Pelodiscus sinensis: one gene and its partner. The protein of the gene in region 1 purifies or fractionates together with the protein of each later gene. This does not show direct contact. Links are inferred from orthologs where the notes say so. Each region holds a gene or a part of one and is shown on either strand. Other genes may lie near its edges.

Region 1 (3,906 bases):
TGCCTAAGGCTGCACGAAGAGTCTCTCGGGAGAAATCCACACACTGGGTGGGGACACTGGTTGGGTCCCCCCCTAAAATCCCATGCAGACGCTCATAGAAGCGGCATGTTTGCAGCGATGATCCAGAATGTTCGTTTGCCTTCTTTGTCTTCTGGTACACTTTCCTGGGCTTCTTTATTTTCACACAGCATGCTGGCGTATTCTTTTTCCATCATGCCCTTTGTGATCATGGCAAAGATATAAGTGTTTCTTTTACTACTTTATAGTTCTCCCTGAACAGATTCTTCACAGCAATGAGGTTCAGGATCTCTTCAATGCTTCATATTGGAGCTTATTTGCAACCCTGGGCATTCATGGCCAGGTGTGCTGATGAGGGGTGCTGCCAGCTCTGAGTGTCTGCTCGCCACACTGGCCAAACAGAAAATGAAATTCAAACTTTCCTGGGCTTTTTTCCCGTGCACCTGGAGAGCAGCAGAGTTGAAAGTACTGTCCAGAGAGATCACAGTGGGGCACTGTGGGACATCTCCCAGAGGCCAGGAACATAGTTTCACTGCTCTAAAATCAACCGTGCAAGGTCTAATTGCCCTATCTTCTCTGATCCCTTTCTCTTCTTGCTTACCCTTATAACCAGTAAAAAATGAGAAAACATAGCTACTTTTAAAAGTGATGGGGCCCTGGCCCGTTTTCTCCCAGGATCCAGTGCTCTCTTTTCAAATCTCTGGGTTTCTTTTGTTTTGTTATCATGACTTTGATGTTCTTAAGCTTCCTCTGAGTCTATGGATGGTGCATGAGTGGAAAGCAAATGGATTAGCTGACTTCTTTCAGGCTTCACACACAAAGGGATTGAAGTGAGGAGAAAGTGACATCCCTATCCAAATGGATGCCTCTGGGAAACCCAATACCAGTAACGACTTCGAGGCTACGTCTACACTGGCATGATTTTGTGCAAGAACTCTTTTGAGGACGAGTTCTTGTGCAAAAACTCTTCCAGAAGAAAGCGTTTACACTGGCATGTGCCTTTGCGCAAGAGATGTGCTTTTGCAAGAGCAGCCATGCCAGTGTAGACGTTCTTTTGCGCAAGAAAGCTCTGATGGCCCTTTTAACCATCAGGCTTTCTTGCGCAAGAAATTCATGTTGCCTGTCTACACTGGCCTCTTGCGCAAGAACAGTTGCGCAAGAGGGCTTATTCCTGAGTGGGAGCATCATAGTTCCTGCGCAAGAAGCACTGATTTCACACATTAGAACATCAGTGTTCTTGCGCAAGAACTCGCAGCCAGTGTAGACAGGCAGCAAGTTTTTGTGCAAAAGCGGGAGCTTTTGCGCAAGATCGCACCAGTGTAGACACAGTGTGAATGTGTAAAGTCCATTGTAAATCATTGCCACTAACAGGCTGCTCATTGATTATTCTGAATGTCTTAAACAGTTGTTTAGTTTTATAAATAAAGACCAAAACTGCAAGGAGGTAAGGGGTTGTGGACGGAGAAGCTGTGGGGCACGGAGGACCTGCAGAGCAGGGAGGTCCAACTGCAGTCCCGGGGGTAGGTGAGATGCACAGGCTGCACCAAGGAGAGAGCATATATGGAACTTTCATTTTCTCTTAGACTCAGCTAAATAAGCAGTGACTGCTGCAACTGAAATCTGGAGGAAGGATTGTTTTAACCATAAAGCCCTGCAGGGGAATTCTGGGTTTTAGGGCTAGTTCCCTTGCAGATTTCCTTTGGGACTTGAGGCAAGTCACTTGGGCTATGTCTAGATGGCAAGCTTCTTTCGAAAGAGCCTCTTTCGAAAGAGCACGTCTAGACTGCATGCGGAATTTCAAAAAAGCAAGCCGCTTTTTCAAAAGAAAGCACCCAGTGAGTCTGGATGCTTTCTTTCTAAAAAGCCTGTTTGCTGTCAAGAACACCTTCTTTCGAAAGAGCACTTTCAAAAGAAGGCGTTCTTCCTCGTGGAATTAGGTTTACCACCGTCGAAAGAAAAGCCGCGTTCTTTCGATTTAATTTCGAAAGAACGCGGCTGCAGTCTAGACGCAGGTGAAGTTTTTTTCGAAAAAAGGCTACTTTTTTCGAAAAAACCCCTGAGTCTGGACACAGCCTTGGGCCCTGACTCTCAGAGCTGAGTTCCCACCCCCACCGCTCCTGCTACTTTAGCTCACGTGGTGGCTACCTGCCACCTCTGGAAGGCAGGGCCCGTGCTCTGAGTGACTGTATGGGGGGGGGGGGGGGCGCTCTGCAAATGCGGCCGTGCAGACACCCCCCCCCCTCAGCCTCCGGGGCCACAGAGGGCAGGCGGCGTGGGGGAGGGGCAGGGCTACACTCGGGGCTGCGGGGGGGGGGGGGGGGCGGTCCCGGCTGGGGGATGGGCCTGGCCACGGGAGCCCGCAAAGCTCCACGCGCGGCTACGTCGGGCACCGCGAAACGGGGGGGGAGGGGGGGGGGGGAAGGGTGGTCCCCGGAGAGCGACGTGAGGGGAACGGCCCCGCCCCTGGCTCCTCGCCCACGTTTTAACGGCCTGGCAGGGCCACGCCCCCTCCCCGTCCCGCCGGCAGCTCCGGGGACGCCCGAGGCTCCTCCCCCGCCGCTCCCGCCTTCGCCGCTCACCTCAGCGCGGCGCGGCCGGGCGGGAGCAAACACCGGGGGAGGGGCCGGTCCGCCCTTGCCTCGCTGTCTCCGTCACCTCCGCCCGGCCACTGCCTCAAGCTTTGAGCCCCGCCCCTCGTCCGGGCCCGAGGCGGGGGAGCGGGACTACAAGCCCCAGCCTGCCGCGCGGCCTCAAGTGCGGGCTGGGACTCGTCGTCTCCCAGGCGAGCCGTGCCCCGTTGCATGCCGGGATATGTAGTCCCCGGGCCGCCCGCGGAGTCGCGCTCTTATGACGCAGAGGGGCGGTGCTCGCTTCTTCCTCGCCCGCGAGGCGCGACGCCTGATCGCCGGAGCCGCAGCGGCCGGAAGGGCCGGCATGGAGGGAACGCGGCCCCGCAGCGGGTAAGAGCGGCCCCCTCACTTGCACCCGGCGTGGCGGTTTAACCGCCCTTCGCCGTCCCCCCACCCCTCGCAGCGCGCGCATTCCCCTAGCCATAGTCCGTTGCCTCGAGACCCGGCTCAATACCGGCTGGCTCAAGGGGAGTTCTCTTCCTCCCTGCGCGCCGGGACGGGGACTTCTTCCCCACATATCGGGTGGGGGAGCTGTGCTCAGTCGGAAGGGACAGTTTATAAACCTGGCCTAAGAACTACGGGTCACCAAGTGACATGGACAGGCAACAGGCTTAAAACAAACCAAAGGAGGTTTTTCTTCACACAGCGCTCAGTCAACCTGTGGAACTCCTCGCCAGATGATGACTAGGATTATAACACGGTTCAAAAAAGAGCTAGATAGATTCATGGAGGTTAGGTCCATCAATGGCTATTAGCAGCGCTCAACAAATAATGCAGTCCGCTCGCCCGGAGCGAGTAGATTGTAACCTGGAAGAGCTGGGTTCGGGCAATCTGCACATGCGCAGATCACCAGACAGCGCGGCTGGCGAGCGGGGCTCGCCGTGGTTCGGTGAGCCCTGGTTATTAGCCAGGATGGGTAGGGATGGTGTCCTAAGCCTCTGTTTCTCTGGAGGTGGGTAATGGGAGTGTTCCCTCCCTCTGGGGCATTTGGTATTGGCCACTGTCGGCAAACAGGATACTCTGCTAGATGGACCATTGGTCTGACCCAGTATGGCTGTTTTTATGTTCTTTCCATCAATTGTGGGAACCTTCACTGTGGTTTTATTATAGTAGGGCAGAAAAAATATTCTAACAATTCATTGCTTGGTAGCAAAAAATTAAATCAGAATAAACATTTGTAAATATATTTTACATATAGTTTGGATAAATTTTGTATTTTCCCTAGCAAAATTAATCAAATGGTGTTTTTTTATTTATT
Region 2 (3,906 bases), on another chromosome or scaffold:
CTGTAAGGGAAGCACAGAACTTGTACTGGAGTGTTTGACAGAGAAGTAAAAAAATATTAATTTTCAAATATTTTGTTTTTAAAGGCAAAGTACCTTTTTAGAGCCACATTTTATATAATTATTTTTAAAAGAATAAGTCTCTTGTCTTAAAGAAATTGAAAAGTGGTAAAGTTTAATCTTTTCCCATGCACCGGATGTGTTAACTAACATATTTTCTTCAGGTAAAATACAAGTTTTAAATAAATTACAACTAGATTACTATTTTTCATAAAAATAAAAATGAGTTAAAATCAAAATGTAATCTCTGACAAAACAAGAGAAAATAGTCCCTTCACAAAAATGTTAGGTCACATTAGATTTTATGGGAGCCCTTTGCTAAGTGATAGCCCAATCCTGCCAAGTTATTTTCACATCCAGAGTTATTCCTGCATTGAGTCCTATGAGGACTATGCATATAAGTAAATTTGTATGATCAGGCCCTAGTACTGGCAATTGTGTCACATTGGAAAATTTTATATATATATACAATATTTGAGAGTCAGTCTCCTGTAATATAAAGATAAAAAAGCATGTAACCGAAATAGGGGCAAATGTTGTGCAGTCCTCCTAACCAAATTCTAACTTAGATAATTAGTTTGCCTACCTAAAATTCTCCCTGTGGTTTCATTTGGAAACAGTATTCTTCTTCAGTTCCATCCTAAACTGTTGTGCAGTGTTGCTGAGCGTTGTTAAACAGTAGCCGTTTTACATCCCAGAAGTGGTTCCATTTCAGTGATGGATGAAGTGGTCCCTGTTATAGTTTATATATCAATTTGTTACATTTGTAAAGCATTTGGGGAACCTTCAGAATGAAAGGCAGCATACAAATTAAATATAAACAACATTAGCTGTCATTCATCCTCTTCAAAATAGACCTAAAACCAATCTACACACACAAAGCAATTCAAGATGTGCACAAAGCTATATCACCACTAAAAGCCTCTCATTTACAAACTGCTAAAATCTAAAATAAACTTATAATGAAATGTCCTAGGCCAGGTCTATACTACGGGGGAAGGTCATCTTAAGGTACTCAATTTCAACTATGAGTTGCTGTACCTTAAGCCAAACTTCAGCACTATTCCCACAGCAAGAGGTCAATGGGAGAAATGGCACCGACAGGGACATCCTCAGCATTCGATTTAGCAGGTCTTTACTAGACCTACTAAATAGAACAACAGAAGCTCAACCGCGGCAGTGTCAATCTTCCCACAAGTCTAGATGTGACCCTAGATTCTAATCTGTTAATTTGCAAGGGACTGAGCATTCTAACCAAAGGTAATTCTCAACCTTAATCATGGGTTCTGTTTTGGGGAGGGGTCTAAAACAGAGGGTGAACTCTATCAGCCCTAGGCAAAAAAATTATGTAATGTGTCAGGAGCAGAGGGGCTTTGACCCTTCCTAGTCACCATCCTTGTTGGCATTCCCAAATTCTACCCCACTATTTACTATTTCAGTACAAAGCAACTAAAAAAACCAGGTACTGGGCTTGTTAATTATACAGATTAAAACAGCCCAATTACTGAAAGGCCTCATTTATCTTTTGTATATTGACCTACTCTGGGCTACTGTGTGCTGCAATTTTGCAAAGGTGAAGTCACTTACTCTATTCTTTTTCCTCATCATTACTGCCCTGGGAGATCAACTCACTAGCAAGGCCATTAATTTCTCTTTAGTCAGACTACAATTCATTCTCCACAGCTGAAAAGGTGAAGTACATCCTCCTCTCATTAAGGCAGATCTTTTTCCCCTCTCAAGACACTGACAAGCAGATTTTTGTCTCTGCCGGTTTTGTAACAGGAAGTCTGTTCAAACCCCAGCTCTAAAGAGGAAACAATGCGTGTCAACATCAACCCAAGAGCAGCAGAAGCAGCTAGTGAAGCATGGAAGCCCTCCCCCTAAATATTTGTCAAGCCGAAGACACAGAATTGTCTCGAGCAGAGACCAAGAGTCTAGGCCTGCCCTACAGAGAAAGGGCCTACCCTGATGTGGGGGAGGCGAAAGTAGAGACAGTTTCCAGATAACCCAGCTCTACCCACAGGGGAAGTTCCTCACTCAAGTACTGAGGAAGAGAAAGACCACAGAGACCTTCACCCCAGCCTCTCCCTCTCCCCGCCACGGGGCCTGGGGAGGCAGGAGCAAAGTTCAACAGGAGCCTTCTTCTCTTCCCGAGGGGTCGGGGGGGGGGGGGAGGTTTCACACTAGCATCCCCCATCACAGGCCCGCGGGACGTAAAGTGGGGGGAGGCTCCAGACACTACCGCCTTCAGGCCCTAAGGGCTCCACGGCCGCAATCCGCCGCCAGCCCAGGCCCGCGCTCGGCGGCAAAGGCCAGCCGGGACTCGCGGCGGCAGCGTGACTGTACCTTCGCTCGGCGCGGACTGGGCCTGGTGGCGGGTGCCTCCCTCTTCTTGGGGTCGTGTCTGCGGCCGGGAGACAGGTCGTTGGCGTCTCCAGCGGGACCTTGCCGGCTGAGCCCGCTCCCACCCTAGCGGCTCTGGAGGAGGTACACGACGCGAGGCGCTCGCCTGACGGTCTGTCGCTCGCTCCCTCCCCCGCCCCACGGTGCTGCGCAGCGGCCCTTCAGCGCCCTGCAGCTGCGGCGGCCTGCGCCCGACTCCCTACCGCAGCCGCTCTGCTGCCCCTGGCGGCGCGGCGGAACAAACGCGCCCGGTGTAGGCACCGCCTGCCTGGCAGCCGCGGCCGCTCCCAACTGTACCCCGCGCCGCGACTGCGCGACCGGAACCGGCGCTTAGCAACCGGAACGGGTCTGCCAATAAACTCGGTTGGGAACGGCCCTTGGACACGCTTAGCCCCGCACCACTGCTATGCTGGTAGCGCAAACACAATGGCCGCCCCCACCCTCGGCACTAAACCCTCCCGCCCACAGCACCGCCCCCGCCGCCCACGGGCCCAGCGCGCAGTGACCGTCCTCGGACCCTCTCCGGCCACAGCACACGTAGCACTCACCCTGCGGGGTACACACAGACCCGGCCTCCGGCATCCTGCCCCTCAGCGCAACGAACCGGCCCCGCAGCGCTGCCCATCCCTCAGGACACAGCACACACTAACCGGCCCCGCAGCGCTGCCCATCCCTCAGGGACACAGCACACACTAACCGGCCCCACAGCGCTGCCCATCCCTCAGGGCACAGCACACACTAACCGGCCCCACAGCGCTGCCCATCCCTCAGGGCACAGCACACACTAACCGGCCCCACAGCGCTGCCCATCCCTCAGGGACACAGCACACACTAACCGACCCCACAGCGCTGCCCATCCCTCAGGGCACAGCACACACTAACCGACCCCACAGCGCTGCCCATCCCTCAGGGACACAGCACACACTAACCGGCCCCACAGCGCTGCCCATCCCTCAGGGCACAGCACACACTAACCGACCCCACGGCACTGCCCATCCCTCAGGACACAGCACACACTAACCGGCCCCACAGCACTGCCCATCCCTCAGGGCACAGCACACACTAACCGGCCCCACAGCGCTGCCCATCCATCAGGGCACAGCACACACTAACCGACCCCACAGCGCTGCCCATCCCTCAGGGCACAGCACACACTAACCGACCCCACAGCGCTGCCCATCCCTCAGGGACACAGCACACACTAACCGACCCCACAGCGCTGCCCATCCCTCAGGGCACAGCACACACTAACCGACCCCACAGCGCTGCCCATCCCTCAGGGACACAGCACACACTAACCGGCCCCACAGCGCTGCCCATCCCTCAGGGACACAGCACACACTAACCGACCCCACAGCGCTGCCCATCCCTCAGGACACAGCACACACTAACCGACCCCACAGCGCTGCCCATCCCTCAGGGGCACAGCACACACTAACCGACCCC

Evidence for each region.
Region 2: the proteins of STRADB (region 1) and CAB39 purify together in Homo sapiens (affinity purification with mass spectrometry; 3 studies listed by BioGRID and IntAct, counting the BioPlex papers as one, with this or other methods). This does not show direct contact. The link is inferred for Pelodiscus sinensis from reciprocal best matches to the Homo sapiens genes STRADB and CAB39.

Annotation. Positions count from the first base shown.
Region 1 is NC_134717.1:57,073,057-57,076,962, reverse strand, and holds the start of STRADB (STE20-related kinase adapter protein beta), read right to left. Parts: upstream 2,733-3,906; 5' UTR 2,598-2,732; intron 2,221-2,597; exon of another isoform or gene 1-2,220. UniProt on the Homo sapiens protein: Pseudokinase which, in complex with CAB39/MO25 (CAB39/MO25alpha or CAB39L/MO25beta), binds to and activates STK11/LKB1.
Region 2 is NC_134720.1:9,966,931-9,970,836, forward strand, and holds the start of CAB39 (calcium-binding protein 39), read right to left. Parts: upstream 2,769-3,906; 5' UTR 2,404-2,768; intron 791-2,403; 5' UTR 644-790; intron 1-643. UniProt on the Homo sapiens protein: Component of a complex that binds and activates STK11/LKB1. In the complex, required to stabilize the interaction between CAB39/MO25 (CAB39/MO25alpha or CAB39L/MO25beta) and STK11/LKB1.